Linked DNA regions of Saccharomyces cerevisiae S288C. The gene in region 3 interacts genetically with the main gene of each other region. Each region holds a gene or a part of one and is shown on either strand. Other genes may lie near its edges. The genes, in order: PAL1, YHR210C, RQT4 and YIR016W.

The links.
Region 1: mutations in RQT4 (region 3) and PAL1 together harm fitness more than expected from each alone (negative genetic interaction), as found in Saccharomyces cerevisiae (2 studies listed by BioGRID).
Region 2: mutations in RQT4 (region 3) and YHR210C together harm fitness more than expected from each alone (negative genetic interaction), as found in Saccharomyces cerevisiae (2 studies listed by BioGRID).
Region 4: mutations in RQT4 (region 3) and YIR016W together harm fitness more than expected from each alone (negative genetic interaction), as found in Saccharomyces cerevisiae (2 studies listed by BioGRID).

The regions. Positions count from the first base shown.
Region 1 is NC_001136.10:1,169,826-1,175,459, forward strand, and holds PAL1 (Pal1p), read right to left. Parts: upstream 2,001-5,634; coding exon 501-2,000; downstream 1-500. Other genes in the region: mitochondrial 37S ribosomal protein mS43 MRP1, read left to right, coding at 1-318; YPS7 (putative aspartic endopeptidase), read right to left, coding at 2,561-4,351. UniProt on the Saccharomyces cerevisiae protein: Involved in the early step of endocytosis.
Region 2 is NC_001140.6:519,366-524,797, forward strand, and holds YHR210C (aldose 1-epimerase superfamily protein), read right to left. Parts: upstream 2,373-5,432; coding exon 1,347-2,372; downstream 1-1,346. Other genes in the region: CRG1 (S-adenosylmethionine-dependent methyltransferase), read left to right, coding at 72-947.
Region 3 is NC_001143.9:480,873-486,966, forward strand, and holds RQT4 (Rqt4p), read left to right. Parts: upstream 1-2,546; coding exon 2,547-4,139; downstream 4,140-6,094. Other genes in the region: ALY1 (Aly1p), read left to right, coding at 1-1,109; NTR2 (Ntr2p), read right to left, coding at 1,299-2,267; DBP7 (putative ATP-dependent RNA helicase), read right to left, coding at 4,272-6,094.
Region 4 is NC_001141.2:380,675-386,044, reverse strand, and holds YIR016W (uncharacterized protein), read right to left. Parts: upstream 3,418-5,370; coding exon 2,620-3,417; downstream 1-2,619. Other genes in the region: YIR018C-A (uncharacterized protein), read left to right, coding at 344-481; YAP5 (Yap5p), read right to left, coding at 699-1,436; MET28 (Met28p), read left to right, coding at 1,926-2,489; ribonuclease P protein subunit RPR2, read right to left, coding at 3,663-4,097; VLD1 (Vld1p), read right to left, coding at 4,231-4,959.

The DNA.
Region 1 (5,634 bases), on a different chromosome or scaffold from region 3:
AATGAGCTCAATAACCAATATACCAACATGGAAAAACAACGAGCCAAAGAAGCCGGTAATCTTGAAGATTCTGAGATGACTGCCAAGCAAGCCAAGACAAAATTTATTTATGAAACCCAACAGAAAGGTTTTTCTGGGAAAGAGGTTTCATATATCCCGCTTTTAGCCATTGATGCGTCACCAAAAACATGGTTAACTGATTATGGCGTATTTGGGAAACGAGAATATTTAGAAAGGGTATGGGACTCTATAGAATGGAAAATTGTAGAGTCAAGGTTACCTCAACGTACTAAGATCCAAGCATTCAACACGTTATGAATGAAACTGGTAATGGGAATTTTTTCCTTTTGATATAAGTTGGTAGTCTCTGTAAATATATAAAGTCAAACTATTCGTAATGTGTATATAACGTGGTCTTAAATTATTTTTATTCGTATCTCTCCCTTTTATTTGCCTGGCTTTGGTGTCTCATAGCTTCTTTTCTCTCTTTTAAGCTCACTTTACTGACTTTTCCTGCCGACCTTTAGACTTTTTACTCTGCTCAGTAATTTGCTGCCCGTCGATTTCTTTTTCATATTGGGCTCATTGTAGCGCACACCCAAATAAACGTCTTCCTCATCTTCATTGTGATCATCTTGGCCGTCGAAATCAGTAGTATAATTGGACTTATGCGTTCTGTTAGGAGAATTAACGGTTTTCGACCTTCTAACACCTTCATTGCTGTGACCAACATCATAGTTGTCTCTACTTAAACTCAAGTTTCTTCTAACGCCTGTCATGGGGGCATTGCTATCACCGGATCCTCCGAGACCTAATCGTTGAGAAAGTGACTTATTTCTTTGTAAACCACCGTTACGATTATGATAGGAATGGGCTTTTATGTCGTTTCTAATGGCAGCTGAGGAGGCCGGCGCCCCATCTAAAAACGTACTAGAACCTAATCCCGCAGTAACTGGCCCATGAACCAATTCTGTCTTATTTTTGGCATCCATTTGTTGGACGTTACCCACGTTTGCTTTTATTGCGTCCTGCGTATCACCACCTCTCCTTAGAGTCTGCGAACTGTACTGGTATATATCAGAATCATCTGTATCATCTCTCCCAAAAACCTCATCCAGGGCAGACTTCTTGGTTGAAGCGCCACCGATGGTACTGTTTGGACCATCGACCGGAAATGCTAAAACAGGCGCAGCTTTGTTATTTTTATTTCTATGAGGTGTTACTGCATCGAATGGGCCGTCATGATGAAATGAGCCACCGAACAATCCAGTTACATCTAACTTATCGATAGTATCGACGTTCTTAGGAACAATAACCTTACTTTTTCTCTTTCCCTTCTTAGAAGGCGTTGAAGATGAGGAAGCTTCACGGTGATGGTGGGATGAAGATCTGCGTGAAATATATGTGCCGCTGTTGCTATGTTCGCGGTGAGAAGAAGGACGAGAAACCTTTTCCTTTGGATATGCACGCCTTGATCCATTGGTTGAAGTGATCTCTTCGTATGAGGGTGGTAGGTCAGTGTTTTCTCTTGTGTTACCTACTGTACTTACGTCACTTTCCTCCAAATATCTTTGCCTTAATTGTTCTTTTTCTTCTTTAGCAGTGGGATGATTTTTATTCCTTGAAACAGGTGGGGGAGACCTTCTAAAATCGGTTGCAGAACTCACATCGTCTAGGAAAGGATTCTTTGAGGAAAGAGGTCTCGAAGGTGGTGATAAACTACCACTACTAAAGCTCTCCAAACCAGAATAAAAAGCACCCTGCTGATCTGCGTTTCGCTGGGGTTCATCCTCTGGAATGTTTGGGAATGATAATTGTGAAGAAGTTCTTGTGTTCAATTGTGGCATATCAAATGAATTGGTACGAGATTGGTTTTTCGCCCACTCCTGAAACTGGGAGTCATTTTTATACTGATTAATACTTGAATCAACTGTGGCATTTCTAAACGGGTTATTAACAGAAAATGGCCTACTAGAGGTACTACTGTTTCTATTCTCCATGCTAAATCTTGCGTATATGTATCAATTTTTCTAAAAATGGAAAATGCTGGCAAAGTGTAATGGAACCTACAATGTATCAACAATTAAGCAGTCGAAGATTATGGTAAAATGACGTTACGTGTTCGAAGGGATAGGTCTGCAAAACACTTAAATTCCTCGAATAAAAATAACAATAAAAAGAGCGAGGTAGATCGGATATATTTCGGATTCTACACACTATAAAATACAAATTAGAAATTTTACAGAGTTACCTCCCAAGAAAGAGTATCTTCATTTTCTAGTGAATAACCTATCGCCAGTCACCATGATCTGCTGTTGAACCAACCTCGAGGCGGGAAAAAAAACAAAAAAAAAAGTAACGCGATTTACGCTCCGTGCACGACGATTCTTTGAGATGGCTGCCAATGGTTGATCACAAGTACTAGCTTCTACACAACTGGATAAGAATGACGCATATATACTTTTAAGTATGTTGTTATTAAATCTGCTATATAATGATGTTATACGTGCATTGGTCAAGGAGAAAAAGGTTTTATGTTATGAACTTTTGTTAAAACCATTCAAAGAACAATAAGTATCGAGAATATCGAAAGTAGTAGCAAGGAAGCTATACGAGTTACATGTCCAGCTGGATCTTTGTTAAATGTATAAGGACTGCTCAATCGAACGCCTGCTCCCGAAGCACTGCTGGTTCTATTAGTTGAATTTGACCACTCTTCTGAGGCTGACACAGAAAAGCTGTCGAATTGAGTACTGGATGGTCTAGCACTTGTGCTTGCTCTTGAAGTATCATAGAATGACCGGCCCGCACCTGTAATCACACCGTTTGAGTATGCTGCTGTCAGTTGACCTGGGACAGTGAACATATAGCCTGACCTATAGGATGGATAAAGAGTCAAGTTTCTTGTATTACTACTATTCATCACTTTTGCGTAAGGAATGTAACCAGATTTGATCTTCTTGATGATAGTGGACGCGGTAGTTTCATTTGTCTCTTCAGTAACTGCGTCATCTTCAACCTTCTTTGCCTGTGCAATGGCTATAGTGTTATCCTCTAAGTCCATTGCCATATATATATTTTTTATGAAGGCTTCTCCGAGTATGTTTACTCCAGTATTTGTATTAGCGTATAGTGTTAGAAAACAAGCTTCCTGTCCAGAACTGAAAAACATTGAAGAATTGGTGGATGTATCGTAAGTAGATGATAATAAATCACGTAGGGGTATTTCAATTGTCAATTCTCGAAGCCTGAAACCCAAGGAGACACCCATATCTGCTATAGAACATTGGACTAGCCACCTATCTAGTGATTCCACATAAGTGGCCGCAATTTGAACGGCAATCTGAATAATGGTACTAGTTGGCAGGTAACTGACCGAAGAAGTTGAATCAAGTAAGGCTGGGCTCAGAAAGTCCTTCGAAGTCATATTCAAACTTTGTCCGCTGTTAGACACAATATAAATAGGGCCTAATGGCACAATTGGGTACCCAACACTAACAGCATTACTCACTGGGTCAACGTAAGGAATTAAGTCAAATTTTCCCAGTGTACCGGTAAACAGCGAAGGATCCACCCCTCCAAGAAGTAGCTTCCCACAATTAGATATTGGATCTCTATATGTTTTGTACGTGGAAGTGTCTCCAGCCAACCACAGTGAATATGACGAACTTTCAATGATATCTGCATCTTTCAATAAGGATAGAAAATAAGACTGTTCTGTGTATTGTGAGCTATCGATAGCATTGCCTGGGTTTGTGACCTTCCCGCTTAAACCTAACAAGCCTGAAGTCTTAAAGTTCGAGGACTGAATATCAAAGAAGGAAACGTTTGAAATGGATAGGCTCCCCGAGTTAAATTGTACGTTATCTCGAGTTACCATTAAATCGGTTATCAAAGCGGTCGAGGAATTTTCTGAGGAAACATTTGTAAAATTCATATCGTCTGTCACCAAAGTACAGTTAACAGCTCTACCATCAATGAAAGAAATCTCATATATTTGGCCAGGAGAAACAGGAACAGATGATGTAGAGTCATTCATGAGGTAGCTGGGATGCTTATGATATACACCGGAGTATTCGTTATGACTTTCGCTTGTTCCGGAAACCAGATTTATGTACGGTTGGATAATATCCACTAGCAAACGTTGGCGTTGACCGGGAGTGCCAAATGTGCTATTAACATAGTAGTTTCCTCTACCATCTTTACCCACGGCTAGTACAGGAAACGGCTCCTCCGTTGACGAAGAGGTTCCAGACTTTGCTGTAGTTGTTGTATTTGCAGTACTAGCCGTTGCAAACTCTAACTGAAAAGTTGATATGAGCCACAGATACCATAAAATTAGGCATGTCATAGCAAAAATCAACGGCAAATAAAGCAAGCACGCAGTTACGATACGTTCAAAGATCTTTCCAAGTTCTGTATCCTTCTAGAACGATTAGTCTAATGCAACTGATATGTCCAACATTCTAAATATAACTTATTTTGGTATTAGCTGCATCATTCTACCATGATGAGCTGCGGCGTTCAATATCTCATTTTTTTTTGTTCGGGGTAACGAGGTTCATTGTTGCAAATAGCACGACCAAACGAGCGGTATGATACAAAGCACTGCAAGTCATAGCTGAGGTAAAAAAAAAAAGAATGAAGATCTCATTGTTTGGGTTAAATTACTTTCAAGAGCCTCTTTTTTAGGCTCGGTTGGTTAAAAGAGCAAGAACCGAAACACTAGTGCATCAATTTTTATAACAATTTTGTAATTATGTTGATAATTGGCAGTAAAGTTACAAAATACACACTAATTAAAATATTGAACACTTACAATATAAAGCTGATATCAAAATAAATATCGAACAATAAATACAACTCTCTCCAATATCAATATACTGCCGTCGTTATTTAAAAAATTAGCCCACCTGGGAACATTATAGAAAGAGATTTGTTTTTTGGTCTGGCAATGTGTCATAATCAAGCTCTTTGCAATATACATCCCCAACTCATATATTTGTATACAGGAAGAAGAATCGACCACCATCTATCGACTAGCATATTATCATATACGGTGTAAAAAGATGACATAAAAGATGAGAAACAGGGTAATCCCAACAATTGTCTCAATATTTACCTATTTCTCACATTGTCACCGCTCGAAAGTGCATTTTATATACGTTCTTTTGTGACGACTACTTTTGGCGGGAATCTTAGCGCCTTAAATGCAGTGAAAGATTACTCTTTTGAGTTATTGCCTGAATTTTGTCTGCAAAATTGTTATTATTCAGGAATTTAGAATAATTCAACTCTGGAGGCCTGCGCTGTACTACGGGCTCAAGTAATACCGGAGTGTCTCGACAATCCTAATATAAACAGTCTTAGGGAAGTAACCAGTTGTCAAAACGGTTTATCAGATTAATTCACGGAATGTTACTTATCCTATATATTATATAAAATATGGATCATACTAAATGGTGGAAGCGCGGAACCTTGGATCTAAACTGTTGGAATAAGAATCCACTATCGTCTATCAACTAATAGTTGTACTATCAATATATTATCATATACGGTGTTAAGATGATGACATAAGTTATGAGAAGCTGTCATCGAAGTTAGAGGAAGCTGAAGTGCAAGGATTGATAATGT
Region 2 (5,432 bases), on a different chromosome or scaffold from region 3:
CAAATTCAAGTTAACCCTTTTACACTCAGTACATCTTCAAAGCCAGTCTTCTGTCAATGGAAGAATCCAGAATGCCTAAAACTAGTTATTTAAACAAAAATTTTGAATCTGCTCACTATAATAACGTACGTCCCTCTTACCCTTTATCTTTAGTCAATGAGATAATGAAATTTCACAAAGGCACACGCAAAAGTTTGGTTGATATTGGATGTGGCACAGGAAAAGCAACTTTTGTCGTTGAACCCTATTTTAAGGAAGTGATTGGGATTGATCCTTCTTCTGCTATGCTTTCGATTGCTGAGAAAGAAACAAATGAACGTAGATTAGATAAAAAGATTAGATTTATTAATGCGCCTGGTGAAGATTTATCCAGCATTCGACCAGAAAGTGTAGATATGGTTATTTCAGCAGAAGCCATCCATTGGTGCAATTTAGAAAGGCTGTTTCAGCAGGTTTCCTCTATATTACGAAGTGATGGAACTTTTGCATTCTGGTTTTATATTCAGCCGGAATTTGTGGACTTTCCCGAAGCCTTGAATGTATATTACAAATATGGATGGAGCAAGGATTATATGGGTAAATATCTGAACGACAACCAACGGGAAATTTTGTTGAATTACGGTGGTGAAAAGCTACGTTCTTTATTGTCAGATCGATTTGGAGATATTGAAGTCACAATTTACAGTCCTTCGGACCCAAATGCATCAACAGTAACGGCTGAAAACAGTCAGTTTCTCTGGAGAGCAGCTATTACTCTCAATCAATTTAAAGAGTTTGTGAAAAGCTGGAGCATATACACTTCTTGGGCTAGAGATAATCCCTCGAAACCGGATATTGCCGATATATTCATTAACGAGCTCAAAGAAATCTGTCATTGTGAAGATTTGAATGTACCTTTAAAAATAGAGTGGTCAACGTTTTATTACTTATGTAGGAAAAGAGAATGAGGTTTACTAAATTAAAAGAAATATATAAAAAGCTGATTTTTTTCTTTTTTTAAATATTTCCCAAATGCTAATAAATATTAAAATATGGCAAAAAGAAAATAAGGTGTTGTTGCGCAGTTGGGAGTAATTTAAAACCGTCAACATATGCTCTAAAAATTTTATTGGCTCTAAATTCCGACCTCTGAATGTAATTATGTTTTAAAGCGATACGTAAACTTGTTACTGTTAACATTAAAAGATAATGCAATCATGGTAACATAATAAAGTCTCAAAAAATTCTTAATATTAACTATAACATATGCACTTCAGAAAGCTGTTTCCGGATCATATCTCATTATAAAAAGCTCAATTTATAGAAAAATAATGCGACAGTGCAAAGTAAACAACTAAATTTGGTGCCTACACCGCAAAACGATATCGAGTCTTAGAAGTATATACCTCACCACGTCTCAAAAGAACGCAGTCTCTCCATCCATCACGGTTGATTGCGTCAACATATCTGCCTTGTTCAACGGCAAAGCCAGATCTCGGCGTAAATCCATCACACAAGTTGTCACCTGTGTAAAATAGGACAGTTGGTTCTGTTGTTGAAACCTCCAATGAAAGTCGTGATGCCGGATGATAAGCCTTGAAGGCAGGGACGAGCTTGTTTACACTTACTGAGTCTGTCGTTTTCAAATTCTTATTTTCATCAACAATGAAAGCGTAGTCATAAATCGGGCCATCATCCTGCAGAATGGTAGGTTTGGAGGAGTCAAAAGTAGCAATTTTTCTTTGAACGATTTTACCGGTTGGAATTAGTGCTCCTTCGCTTACTTCCAATGATTTATCTGAGCAGAGCCTAACCTCCGTACCGCTAATGGATTTTTTATCCATAGTTTTGTTTAAATTGAAGTACGTGTGATTCGTCATGTTGATGGGAGTAGCCTCACCGCTGACCAGTTTTGCCTCGTATTCCAAGTCCAAGGTCATGTCAGCAACGTTCAATGTGTACTTTAAGTTTACAGCTAGATCTCCCGGAAATTCATTGGGCAGTGTGCGGTCATCCAATAACGTAAATTCAACAATGTAAAGGTCATCAAGAGGATTTTGGACTTTGGATGCCTTATACTTCTTGAGATGGAAGGAGCTGATGCTACTGTGGTTGGTGTTTCCACAATTGTTCACTGTCAACTGATGAGGTCCATCTTCCATACTGAACATGCCCTTGTAAATACGATTTGCATAACGGCCAACAGTAGCACCAATGTAGTTGTAGCCATCTGATATATAGCCATGAATATCAGGGTATCCTAGAACAATCGATTCGTTGTTCACTTTCAAGTCAAGCAAAGTAGCGCCAAGCTCTGAAATTGTTGCTTGAAGCTTTTTTGCATCACCAATAGTGATGACTTCATATTCACCGCCAGCCTTATTATTTGACATTATCACTTTTTGGCTTTTTAGGTGAATTTACTTATTGCAGTAACATAATGTACAATTGAGTTCCAGTACTTCGTAGTACATTCTGATTTTATATCTCAGAGCATCCAAGGTGTTTACGCATGAATAACCAAACCATGGAGGAGTTACTTTTACCTTTTTTTAAGATATTCAGCTAGTAACTAATTGTCGGAAAAACTTAACAGGTACAAGGCCATATTATCACGTAACAAACCTAATTTTTGTACGATATTAGTGCCCGAGAATTTCTCCGTAGCGTAATTTTCTGCGAGAATTTCTGCGCAGTGCAAAGATATGCGACCTGACACTCTTTACGAAACTTTACCCCTCCCCCACCTCCACCTGCATTTATCCCGTCAAAAAGTGTCAATCACCTGGATGCATAAGGAGGAAAAATTATTCCAAGGATGTTGGACAACGCGAATTTTGGAAGTGACTTCTCATAAGCTTCTGATCTCTACTATATTCTTGTAATTTGGTGGGGTAGTGCAGGCTTACTGTGCGATGAGCAAATCCAGCGTATTGCTCACAGCGATAGGCCTTTGAAATGATATTGTTTGAATGCAAAACGCAGAAATGATATTCAACTTCATAATCTCATTAAACAAGATAGCATGCCAATAGAATTCCATTTTTTCCGATTCTTAGGCCATTTACAACCAAGTATCAACTTTCGTATAATTTTATTTCCATAATTATACGCAAATGCTGCAGTAGTTGCACATAGAATGATGATACGACCTAATAAAGGAAAAGGGGAATCTGTTCTGAGCTGAAAACTGATTCAAAACTCAATTTGGACACTCGGTTCGGGTGCTGGCCAGCAATAGTTTAGTGTTATCATGTCATAATCTTCCTCATAGGTTTCAATGTAATATCGATAATTACAAAGTAGTTCCTTTTCATTTAAATTTATATGCAAGAAGATAAGAGTTGATGTAGCAGTGCACCAGTTTTGCTTTACAATTCTTACAGTTTTATGAAAAATAATCTCCAATATGCCATGCTGAACTGGCATTCTTTTTGAGTGCAAAAGGAGGTTTTGGAAAAACAAAGTCTTCTTCTGCGTGTTACTCTGAAAATGTTGAAAAATAAGCTGAATGGGGCATTACATGTTTTCATCCAAACATGCCTTGTCAATAACGAGATTCGCGACGTATTCTTTTAGTATTCTGTTCCTTTTTTTTTTTGCTCCGCGCGCACTTGAACATCTTGCATATTTTTCTTTTCTGTTTTCATCCAGAGGTTGTGTTCTAGGACTTTCTGACGGAGGAATATCATCAAATCATCACAATAAGATCAATTGCATGGGTTCCAGCACTTAGCCAAATGTACAAATCTTGATATTTACCGGAGACCAACCCTTAGTTTGAAGTGTGCGCTACCAGGGAATCTTCTTCGGTCATTATTTTCTATCTTCACGATAATCGATCCTCCTCCTATACGTTAATATCGACTGATATCTAAATACATCGTTGAAGAACGGCGGAAAAATACTTATTTTCAGGTTGTCTTCGTTTTCACTCACGATAGCAATATGGATCCTTTCACAGCTCCTATCACCGCTGTAGTTTTTTATGACGCTTAATTTCCTGTTAATAAGTAAATAAGGTAAGTTGAAGGTCCTTCATACTGTGATCTGCAATAAACCACATGGCTACCGCACTTCTTGTCACTATCCTATGTGGAGAAAACCCAGAAAAAACTTTAAAGCGTGATTGAAATCAATAATTTGGCAAAGAACTAGAACCATACGCAAGAAAACCTTCCAACTTTGGCATTGTACGCAGAAATGAGACACGTTCAAAGCACAGGTCTTGAAATTTAAAAAAGTTTCTCAAAAGTTCTCCCAAACCTTCAATTTCTATTGGTATAACAGTATTCTAGGAAGAAAACAGGCGAAGAAAGTTTCTTTACTTTCTTCCTTTAATAGACTTTCATGAATATCAAATGCTGTTGTTTTCAACTAAATCAGACAAGCAAAGGCGATTGCTAAAAGTGAACATATGGAAAATATATGGAAAAAATCTAGAGGCAACAAACGTTCGGGTTTCCTTTTAACTCCGAGAAAGAAAAATCATTAGAACTTCGTGTTAATCCTAATAGAGTTCAAATATGCTACTAGTCGTCAGAAACCTCAGTTACATGATTACACATTCTAAGACTTCACAAGTGAAAAATTTCCCGACGTTCATAGCATGTTACGTGATCGCGCAGGATGGGACAATTAAACGATCTTTGCAGTGGAGAAGGAATAACTTCCGGTTGCAGCTACTTGTCAAACAGAACACTGGTATGGATAAGATAATAGTCAGATCTTTTATTACTTATGAAACAATGTCAGTAACACAGCGTGTTTAACAGATAATGTTCTTTTAACAAAATTAAATGAGGTCTTTTATTGTGTGTGTCAAGTTGACAAGCCGCCTTTATTGATAGATCCCCACTAAAAATACCAGGAAATGATGAGCTCGAGTCTTTGTGCCTTTCTCATCATGGACCATTCGCACATGCAGTGCTGCACAACAAAAGATAAATCACCAGTATTAGGTGACTTTCAAAACACTAGAATTTAGGCACTTTCAACCCAGCCCAGCGCGTAGTAAGAATAAAGTAGGGGAAAACCTTACGAAAAGCCTCTTTCTTTTTTGTAAAAAATTCTGTTTTTAATAGCCAGTTCTTTAGTGATTACAGGTAAGAGGGTTTCATATTTTAGAAGTGCAGCCATGATGAAGCACTTTTGCTCATTTATTGCGAGAAGTTTAATAAGTAGTATGGTTCCATTTTCAAGAATCGAGGCACTGTTCCTTCCCAACCTTGGAATCATACTCCGAAAGGATTTCAAGCCGATTTAAATTCACCTGGTAACTTTCCTACGGTTTGGCCCAAGGTGATTATAATTAACTTGCGGCTTGTTTTCAGCCTGCGATCGAACCTTTTTTACGCAAAAAAACCTTATTAATTAAGGTTTTGAAAATTTTCTTCTTTCCGGGAGATTTTCATGTAGCCTCGAGCTTCTGGATTCTCACGGGATTATCTCGC
Region 3 (6,094 bases):
CAGATCAACAAAATTACGCAAGTCATCATGATTCCAATATTTTCTTCCCAAAAGAAGTTCTTTCGTCTCCCGTTCTTTCACCTAACGTGCAGAAGATGAACATTAGAATACCGTCTGATCTTCCAGTAGTGCGTAATAGAGCTGAAAGCGTAAAGAAAAGCAAGTCAGATAATACCTCCAAGAAGAATGATCAAAGTAGCAATGTCTTCGCATCCAAACAGCTGGTCGCAAACATTTATAAGCCCAATCAGATTCCAAGAGAATTAACTTCTCCTCAGGCGTTACCATTATCGCCCATCACCTCACCAATTCTCAATTACCAACCATTATCAAACTCCCCGCCTCCAGATTTTGATTTTGATCTAGCTAAGCGCGGCGCAGCCGATTCTCATGCTATTCCTGTGGATCCTCCATCATATTTTGATGTATTAAAGGCCGATGGGATTGAATTGCCATACTACGATACAAGTTCATCTAAAATTCCTGAACTAAAACTAAACAAATCTAGAGAGACATTGGCCAGCATTGAGGAGGACTCATTCAATGGTTGGTCTCAAATTGATGACTTATCCGACGAAGATGACAATGATGGCGATATAGCATCTGGTTTCAACTTCAAGCTGTCAACCAGTGCTCCGAGTGAGAACGTTAATTCACACACTCCTATTTTGCAGTCTTTAAACATGAGTCTTGATGGGAGAAAAAAAAATCGTGCCAGTCTACACGCAACATCAGTGTTACCTAGTACAATAAGACAGAACAATCAGCATTTCAATGACATAAACCAGATGCTAGGCAGTAGTGACGAAGATGCCTTTCCCAAAAGCCAATCATTAAATTTCAATAAGAAACTACCAATACTTAAAATTAATGATAACGTCATACAATCAAACAGCAATAGTAATAACAGAGTTGATAATCCAGAAGATACAGTGGATTCTTCAGTCGATATTACAGCATTTTATGATCCAAGAATGTCATCAGATTCCAAATTTGATTGGGAGGTAAGCAAGAACCATGTTGACCCAGCAGCCTACTCGGTTAACGTTGCTAGTGAAAACCGTGTACTGGACGACTTTAAGAAAGCATTTCGCGAAAAGAGAAAATAAGTACATTATTTTCATTCTCCGACAGAATTGCTACCATTTTACTTTGTGTCCTGTGATTCAATAGTGTACAATATATTGGACATTTTATAGTATACAAATATACACCATCAATCTATACATCCATATCACTTGTCGTAAAGATATCCCTTTTTAATAGTACAGCGATTAAAAAAATAACATGATTAACGTTCAGTTACCAATGAGCTTATTTATTAGGCTTGCTTTAGATTTTTCCAAGTCAATTTTTGTTTTTTCTAACGCTTGCAACCTCATCTCAACCTTCTTCCTTTGCAAGCAGATCTTCGAAACCATCTCGTTTATTCTCTCAATGCTGTTCCCACTTTCATCATCGTCTGGGAAAAGTACCGGTAAGGGCGTGATGATTTTCTCATTCGATTTGTTTATATTTCCTTTGCTTAAAAGCTGGGTTTCCCATTCTTCATTAGTTCTGTAGGGCACTTCATTTATGGCCTTCTCTATAATCTTTCTTTTAGAATCCTTTTGAATAGCAATTTGATTATCCGTGAGGGCTAGCATTTCGTCTTGAAAGCCTTGCATTTCATCGTCACTGAAGTTCGTAATCTCCTTTTCATTGTTACGTTTCAGACCACCATTTAATCTTATTGTCTCCATAATTTCGCGTTTATCCTCACTGTCCAACAATTTTACATAATCTCTTTCTGTTGTAACATCACTCTCACTAATTTTCCTTCTAGATAATGACTTCTGTGCTTTCAGTTTTGCAATTTCTCCTCGGGTTGGTATACTACTAATGTGCTCACCTTCGGAGCTACTGCCAGCCTCTGAAGAATCACTTAATAGATGATGATTCCCCTCCATCAAGTCCTCCATATTGAGAATTAGCAAATCATCTTTGTTTCGCGTCGATGCATTGGTATTTTTCTTTGAATGGTAAAGATCTTCATAATGCGAATTATCCTCCTTTATTGCTTGTTCGCCATCAAAGGTAATGTCGCGCTTAGGAACTTTTTTAAACTTTATTGGTTGTAATACACAAATGTCGTTGTCATCATCTTCAGAATCGTTCGACACTAGGGGCTTAATTTGCTGCATTGGCTTATGCGCAGAACCATCAATTCCAACCTCCTCAGGAGAACCACTTGGTAACCTAATTTTATTTCTTTTCTTGATCGCCATAATGTGTTCAAATGCTATAACATTGCTAGGCAGAACTTGACGTAACTCGACCAGTTATATTGCTTCTTCAAAGCACAAATTTATGATGATTGCTTTCAGTTATGAGGTTCATTTCGATATTCTTTATGATCTTCGCTTGCCGGGTATCGGACAAATATTGAAATATTATACAGCAAGAAAGAGGCATAAAGAGCCTGGCAGCAGCAAATAATGGCAAAGTGAACGTAGTCCGAGAAACAGTGGCTTAATTATTTAACCTTGGGTTTGCAGTAATTAATAATGACAAGAAAGCAGGCTATTGACTATGCAATCAAACAAGTTCCGCAAATATTGCCTTTGGAAGAGTCTGATGTAAAAGCGCTGTGCGAACAAGTACTGAGTACATCATCTGATGATCCAGAACAAATTGCTTCAAAATTTTTGGAGTTCCTAGGTCATGAAGATCTATCGTTTGAATTTGTAATGAAGTTCAATGAATTATTGAATCAGAATGATAAAAAAGAGGAAAAAAAAACGAAAAATGTGCATCTTGAACATACTGCCCCCACTTCATGGAAAAATGAATCAAAACAGCCCACTAATAACTATATCAATAAGAAGGGAGATGAAAAACCAAAAAAATTAAAGGATGAGAAGAAAAGCTCGACAACGAGGCCTACCGTTCAACCATCAAATCAATCTACGCAATCAAACCCCATAAAGGAGAAAAAAGAGCACAGATCAAAGGGGAAATTACAATCGTTACAAGAAATAGACGAAGCAATCAAGATGCTAGAGCTTCGAGATAGCGGTTCTTCTAAAAATTGTAATTGTCAAGGTACAAGGCATCCAGTTTTCGACATCGCGCCAAACTGTCTTCACTGTGGTAAAGTGGTTTGTGTTATAGAGGGATTGAATAAAGGTAAATGCGGTCATTGCCATGAACAGTTGATTTCTGATAACGAAAGAACCCAAATGGTAGAAATTTTAAATCAGGAAAAAAACGAACTAAACGGTTCATCATCGTCCTTATCCAATGCGTCAAATGGAGCTAATGTCCCAAAGAAGAAGACTAAAACCTACAAAATAACTTCCGGTATGGGTAAAAATTTATTTGCTGAACAGGACAAATTATTTGATTTCATCGAAAGGAAAAGAGAAAGAGAAAGAAAGCGTAATGAAGTGTTGAAATTGCAGGAGGAAAAAGAAGAGAGCGAAGCAAAGGAAAGACAAGCGAGCGAGCATGACCATAAAGCTGAGGAAAACCCGGAGTTGTTAGCAGCACAAGAACGATTAGATAGACTTTTATATTTCCAAGACACTTCGGCAGAAAGAACAAAAATTATTGATAATGCCAGCGATTTTGACATGAATCAGGAGGTGGGTTTATGGGGCAGCGCAAGAGAAAGAGCTCTTGCGTTGAAGAAGCAACAACGTAATTTGAGAAAGTGGGAAAAAGTAGAAAAGGAACGGAATGGCAGGCGCGAGAAGTACGTTGTTAGCATGAATATAGGTTCAAACGGTAAAGTTACTATGACAGAAGTCCCTAAGGATACAGAGAACGTAATTGCAGGTTCAGATGATGACATCAGTGATATAAGTGACGAAGAAGATATCAGCGACCTTAAACATATACACGCTCTGAAAAGTGAAATAAATACAACGAAATCCTTGGAGAATTTGCATTTACAGTCCAAAGCATGGGATTACGAACGTGATAAAAAACAATTCGATAGGCCTACGTATGTGAAAAAAAATTCAGATACTGCACAACAGAATAGAAAAACGGAAGAAAAGGCTCACGACATGCAAGCTTATGATTTAAAGTCAAGAGTACAAGTGGACCAAAATGCAGACGCATCAGTAGAACAGAATATTCTTGCTGTACTTTGATGAATGGTAAAAGTTTATATTATATATGATAGAGGATATAACCGTTATTCATTTTCTGTAGATTTTATCATTTTCTTTGTCTTCATAGTATACAATTTTTTTTTATATGAATTAATGCTTGTTCTTGTCTATTTAGTAGTTAAACTCACTTGCTATTTGCTTCTCTGCCATACGAGCCATACGAAACATTTTATTTTTAGAGTTTTCCTTAGTTGGCTTCTTTTCACTATTACCATCCTTACTACTTTGCAATCCCATAGCCTTTGGCCTTTCACGTAACCCAAAACTTTTAGCTAAATGGCCTAGATGTAAGAACTTCACGTTGAAAAACTTCTTTTCTTGAGAGATATGCGTTGCGTAAGCCCTCACATGACTAATGAAACCTTTAACGGCCAAATTTTTGAATGCGGAATCTCCCACTACTCGTCTTTCTATATTCAAATGCCATGTCGTAGCATTGGTATCCCACTCATATTCTTTATCGCCCACGTCTTTATTTTTGGACGATTTCTCATCTTTTCTAATGAATTTATCATTTCTGTTGACATTCACATCTTTGAAAGCCGGCATTAGTATTTCTTTATCGAATTTCAGTAATTCCCAACCCATCGGATGATACGGCTGGATATAGTCCATATATTTTTCTTCTTCGCCAGGAAGTAAAAATAACAAACTTTCACCCTTCTCACCGGCCCTTGCTGTACGACCAACTCTATGTAAATGGTCTTCAACAGCAAATGGTGGATCCAACTCAATAACAGATCCAACGTGGGGAAGGTCTAGGCCTCTACTTGCGACATCTGTACAGAACATAATAAGATGTTTTCCCTTGGTGGCTTCATTATCACGAGCAAAATGCTGCAATGTAGAGGTTCTCATTTGTTGGGATAAAGAACCGTGCAATTTATAAATCACTACATCTGGGTCCCTAGAATCTGAAAAACAAGGAAACATAGTGTTTCCTTTTGTCAATAGTCTTACAGAATCACCCGTTAGATTTTTATGGTGCCCGTCACTTCCTGAAAATGCGTCATAATGAAACTCCACGCTGTCTGAACATGATACGAATACGATTGTACGCAGCGTTTTGGACTGTTGACCGGAAGCGATGAAATCTTTGGTAATGTTGTTCAAAGTAGCAGCTAATGTTACAAGACGCAACTTTGGTGGGACAATAGTAATCCTCTGCAATAGTTGATCGGGCGCAACCGTTACTATATCAGAATCTTTCTTGGTACCGTTGCTAATCAATTTGTAATCTTTCAACGCCACGTTTCTTAACCTATTAACACCATCAGTAAGTGTAGCACTACATAACATGTGCACTAACTTATGCGGTAGCTTGGGAAATTTTTCGGAGTTGATGGGAATATCGTGAACAATTTTAATAATTTCACTGATCGTCTCATCAAAACCCAATTCCATTAACTTATCTCCTTCATCCAATACGATATACCTTAGAGATTGACTCAATTGCTCCTTGATAACTTTTGTATTTTGTAAATGATCCAAAACACGACCTGGTGTACCGATTATGAAATTGCAACCCTTACGCAATCTAGCTTTTTCTGATTTCTTACGTTCTCCACCAATCAATAAACATGGGACCAAGTAGTGACAACATGACACAAGCGTGGAACAAACATGATATATTTGTGATGCTAGTTCTCGTGTAGGAGCAATAACCAATGCAAATGCACCAGAAGTACGATCAACATGAGTATCCATGTTCAAAATAGTAGATATTATAGGTAAAAGATACGATAAAGTCTTACCTGAGCCTGTTTGGGCGTGAATGAAAAAATCGTTCTTCCCCGCGTTACCTATTATTTGAGGTATGGCCTGCTTCTGGATGCTCGTAGGCTTTTTAATACGCATTTTTTGCTCCAGATGAGAAACAAGAAGACTAGAGACACCTAAAGACGCAAACTGATCACCTTTCAAGGGCGCGTTAG
Region 4 (5,370 bases), on a different chromosome or scaffold from region 3:
AAAGCTTCTTTTGCGTAACGTCTAACTACAGCTAGATTCTCAAAAATTCGTGTTCAACTCAGAAGAGGAAAGCAATTTAAAAATGAAATTTGCGGGGATCCCATTATCTCTATTGTTTAGCACATTAGGATCTCATCCGCCAATACTAGAATTTGACACGACTTTCAAAAGGAAAGATCTAAATTATGGTATCATGTTAATAATCAGTACGCATATTCGCATTTAGATTTAAATGGTTTGCGTCCAGTTTTTCTTATGTACGATCTATTTTACGTTATAATAACGGTTCTACCATTACATTTACATAGTAGACAGGCTGCCACTCCTCTGCGTCAAAAATAATATGCCTAGTGATTATACTTCCCATTACCCAGTAATACTTATCAAAAAAAAAAAAAAAAAAATTGCAGGAATGTATAGGCATAGTAAGCGGTACCTTGAGATAATGTCCACCGCTTCAGCTCAATTCGTCGGAAACTAACGTCTCAAAATATGGCGGCGAGAACACCAAAGGCGGGGTGTCCAAAACGCTTTTGCACTCTGCGGCCAATGTCCATGAACTAATTCTTTACACATAACCACAGTAATAAACTTGCAAAGAAAAAAGCAATGTCACTCCTTTCATGTGCGTTCTTTTGACGTTACAAAAGTTGAGCTGTTCAATGACGTATTTATAAGTATTAAGAAGTTCTCTCTCTTCAGTGGATGATGGACCGGATGTCGATACATGATTTGTCGATATTAGTACAATTACTACAGAGCCCATTGGGGTTATCTTTATTATTGCACTCTGCATGTGGCATCGACATATCCTTCTGTTCTGTGGCCACACCGTCGTCACTTTTACGGTGATCTGTTTCCAGTTCTTTACAAACGCAAGTAGTGTTGTCGTTACAAAAGCCGCATTTGACAGAGCTAGGCAGTTCTGTCGAGTGCTGGTGGCGCTTGATAGCGGTATTGTACTTAATAGGTATCGCCTTCATTGGTTTGAAATTCTCGATCAAATTCTGCAGGATAGGGTCCTGAGCAGGCACAGAGGCTTGTTTCAGAGTAAGGGTCTCCAATTTCTGTTTAAGGGCATGATTTTCCGATTCTTTCGCTTGAAGTTCATTTTGGAGGCGGTTTAGTTTCGTTTCGTAGTTTTTAACGACCTTACTCAGTGACTCTATGGTTTCCTCCAGCACTTGCAACTTGTTGTTTTTGCGTTCTCTGTAGGCCCTTTGGGCGTCTCTATTCTGCCGTTTTTTCTTCTGTAGCTCCTCATCATTTTCTTCAGTTTCGTAATCTTCGTGAAGTCGATGAACTCTTTTCCTCCGCTGAGCTGCTCTATGGGGCAACCTTGGAGGCAGTTTCCAATTTTTGGACACGTGGATCTTGGACAAAAGAGCGAGGTGGCTTTCCTCAGACTCCTTAGGTTTTATCAGAGGTAGAGCCATGACTGTGATAATATGCTAGTTACACTGTTTATGTTGTGTGAACTTGTTGTAATATGGTTAACTTCACTTTCAGTGATTGATATGATAGCGACATCACTGCCGTGCAAAAAGACCATTCCATTACTGCACCTTTTTGTCCTTTTCCGTGGAATAAAAGTTCACTCGTCAGTTCCATGCATTCTGGAAAAAAATGATCTGAAAGATGCCACAGTTGTGGGGCCCGCCCGGCCCAATAGGTAAACTAAAATACAATAGAAGGGGTACTGAGTGCACGTGACTTATTTTTTTTTTTTGGTTTTAGGTTTCGCTTTTTTCACCTTTTTCTACTTTCTAACACCACAGTTTTGGGCGGGAAGCGGAAACGCCATAGTTGTAGGTCACTGGCGTGAGTCAAGGCCGGGCAGCCAATGACTAAGAACACGAGGTAACTTGAATTTAACTATTTATAACCAGTGGTAGTTACGAAGACAAATTGTTTTGTTCGTCAATATGAGTGCGAAACAAGGGTGGGAAAAGAAATCAACAAACATTGACATTGCAAGCAGGAAGGGTATGAACGTGAACAATCTTTCGGAACATCTACAGAACCTGATATCAAGCGATTCAGAGCTGGGCTCGCGCTTGCTATCATTGCTGCTGGTTAGCAGTGGCAACGCGGAGGAGCTCATTAGCATGATAAATAATGGCCAGGATGTCTCGCAGTTTAAGAAGCTCCGCGAGCCGAGAAAGGGGAAGGTTGCCGCAACAACAGCAGTTGTTGTAAAAGAAGAGGAAGCTCCCGTGAGCACTTCTAACGAACTGGATAAGATTAAGCAAGAGCGGAGAAGAAAGAACACAGAGGCGTCGCAGCGGTTCCGCATTCGCAAGAAACAAAAGAATTTTGAGAACATGAATAAGCTGCAGAACTTAAACACGCAAATCAACAAACTTCGCGATCGTATAGAGCAATTGAACAAGGAAAATGAGTTTTGGAAAGCAAAGCTCAATGACATTAACGAGATTAAGTCTTTGAAATTGTTGAATGACATTAAGAGACGGAACATGGGCAGGTAGCCCGCGAAACGTGCGGGCCTGATGTCTTGTTTTTCCTCTCCAACTTCGATTTTTCGATTTTTCCGTTTCTTTACCTAGCATATATATACACACATCTATCTACATATAAATATATATATATGTATATTTATTATTTATAGCATTGCGCGTGAGACAAAAGCGAGATCTTTTCGTCCCACTCCGCATTGATCAAGGACCGTTTATATTCCACAGACTCTATCTCGCTGGGAGAGCACCATCCTATAGTACGAAAGTTTGTAATAACTCGAGCGTACTGAGCGTCTTCCAGTTGTTGTTGGCGGCGTAAAGACTGCGCGGCTGCAGATGTGACGATAAATCTCTCGGAATCTGGGCGGCTAGCGGGACATACTGAATGCGTATGTTTGTCTCTGGGCATACTGTTCCTTCGAAAGAAAATACTCGAGGCTTTGGCAAGAAAACTGAGTTTTTCTTGTTCTGCCGGAACGCTAAGGCTTCCAGTTATGTCTTCGCGGCCAGATTTTCCTTGGTGTAAGATTGCAGATATTGCGCTCACAGAACTACGGTGCCGCCGACTTTGAACGCGCGGGCTGGACGATGATGACGATGACATATCTAGAGCCTTGGATAGGTCTCGCGACATGGAACTGTCGTCGTCGTCTTCATCATCGTCGTCGTCGTCGTTCCTTGAGGCGTCTTCGACTAATGACGGAGCATGGATGGCGCCTGCGCCATCTCGCGATAGTGTCATGTACTTGTGAAAAGCCGCCGAATCGTCATCCACATCATCATGTGGACCGAGCAACGAGGGCAGCAGACCATCTATAGAACTTCCTCGCGAACACGGTCCTGGCTCTACACCTGGTCCTTGTTCATCATGAGTCAAAGTTTCCGTAGCAGTCACATCAACTGGTAGTCCGACGCCTAGCAAACACCTCGTGCCACTCATTACCGACCACAACACCTCCTTGCGGTGTTTATCCGCTATGCTGGCAAGACGGAATCCTACATTACCTTCTTCAAACGGGCGTCTCGTTTTTTTCCCTGTGTTTTATGTCGTAGTTTTCCCTCAAAATACAGGCACGTACCCCATGTATAGGGGCAAGGGGGTGGGGGGTCGGCTCTTAAAGAAAATCTGGAAACTCCGCATTTTTGTCCTGCTCAAAACATTGGTCCAAAACCCTACCAATAACCCTAAGAATTTAGTAGATTACCCTCCCGCTCCGAGTAGGTCCTGTAATTAGGATCGGCGCCAATATTAAAACGTTTAACGGTACCGCACCCACACATTACCGAAAGCGCTCCGTCGGATGTGATTTCCAGTTTTTTTGGGGTCCATAACAACCGATGGCATTTTTTACAAATTGTTCTCTTTATCGTAGGAAGCAGTGATGTCTTGGTTTTCTTACTAATTAGGTCCATTGATTTGATATAATTGCGTGCCAAAGGCGTATGTGCGTCTGTTCTTGCTTTCTGTCTTGCTCTTGTTTGGTAAGCGGATATTTGGTAGAGGTAGTTTAATCTATGGAAATGGTCCTGGTTCGCAATCGTCCTTGGTGGCGGTACTAGCAGAGTACCATTTTCGTCGATCTCAGGTTTCATCTTTCCTCCGTGTGCTTTCTTGCCCATCTTTTTGCTTGTCTTTTCTCTGTCGGCGATGTGGGAAGGACAGTAGAAGAACCACGTATTGTTTTATTTTCTGTTCATCTTTTTTTTCCGTTCTTTTCATTTTGGTAATTTTTTTTCTTTTCCTTTCTTGAATTTATTCGGCGATATTCAGTAGAGGAGTGATCTCTGTAGCGTCATCCCCGTCTGCCTGTTGAGGAATCGACTTGTCATGATTCTTGAGTACTATGAGTTCCGGTCCGGTTGCATCCATGTGCCAGGTATTAAGTTTGAGAATGTTGAGTGCGCCCTCTTCTTCTGCATTCAACTCCTTGACAATAAGTTTCACGTTCTGAAGACTCGAGCTCAGTGAGCCGTTTATTATTACAATCTGGCAGAAAAGTAATAAAATATCGAGTAGTACCAGAAGTAGCTTGCTAGGAAACGCTGTGGGTACCGGACAAGTAAATTCCCTTATCAAAAGCATTATCACAAATCCGTACGGTTTGGAACATATGTCTCTCGATACGTCTAGCCTAATGTGGTATACTATACAGTACGCTGTTTCTAGAAGTATTAGGCCTTGGTAATATCGTATGGCTTTGTTTATTATCATTCTTACAATAGGTGTTTCTAACCCTCTGATGGCAAGACTTTCATCATCTTCCTGATCATTGTCGCGGCCCACCTCTAAATAGTTCTTCTTCAGGTACCTGAGTGTCAATTCCTGAATGAAATCACAGAGCGATGAAATTATCCACCCCAGGAGGATCAAGAATAATGATCCATCTTTGATAAACCTCAAGTACAGGCAGCAATAAACGAATTTCTGCAAATTCGCTATCACTGACCTTTGTCGTCCATTGTCATCTTCCAAATGCAACATTTCCTTCCGATGCCCTGCTCCTTTCCCTTTCTGTATTAGCTTGTCATCTAAGCCTTCGTCATTGAAGTATCCCTTCCCTTTCTTTCCCTGGAGAAAAGCCATATGAGAAGTTTATATTACCCGGTTTAAAGTTTGTTTTTTTTTTTTTTTCTACCACTAGAATGCTCTCTATAGTACCCATGATGCATTAGTTGAACACTAGCAGGTCAGGTTTTGTACCCTCCCGAATTATGGCTATCTCCTCAATTGCGATGACATTGTCAATATGAAACTAAGTTGTCAATTATCCTAGTTTGCGGCCACCTATGCCCCTTGTTGAAAATGGTACGCCTTTCAGAGATACTTGAATCTTAGGCACTTTTGGCGTAAGATTCTTGACGTTTTCTTTTCTTTTCAAACCTGAAAAGTGTT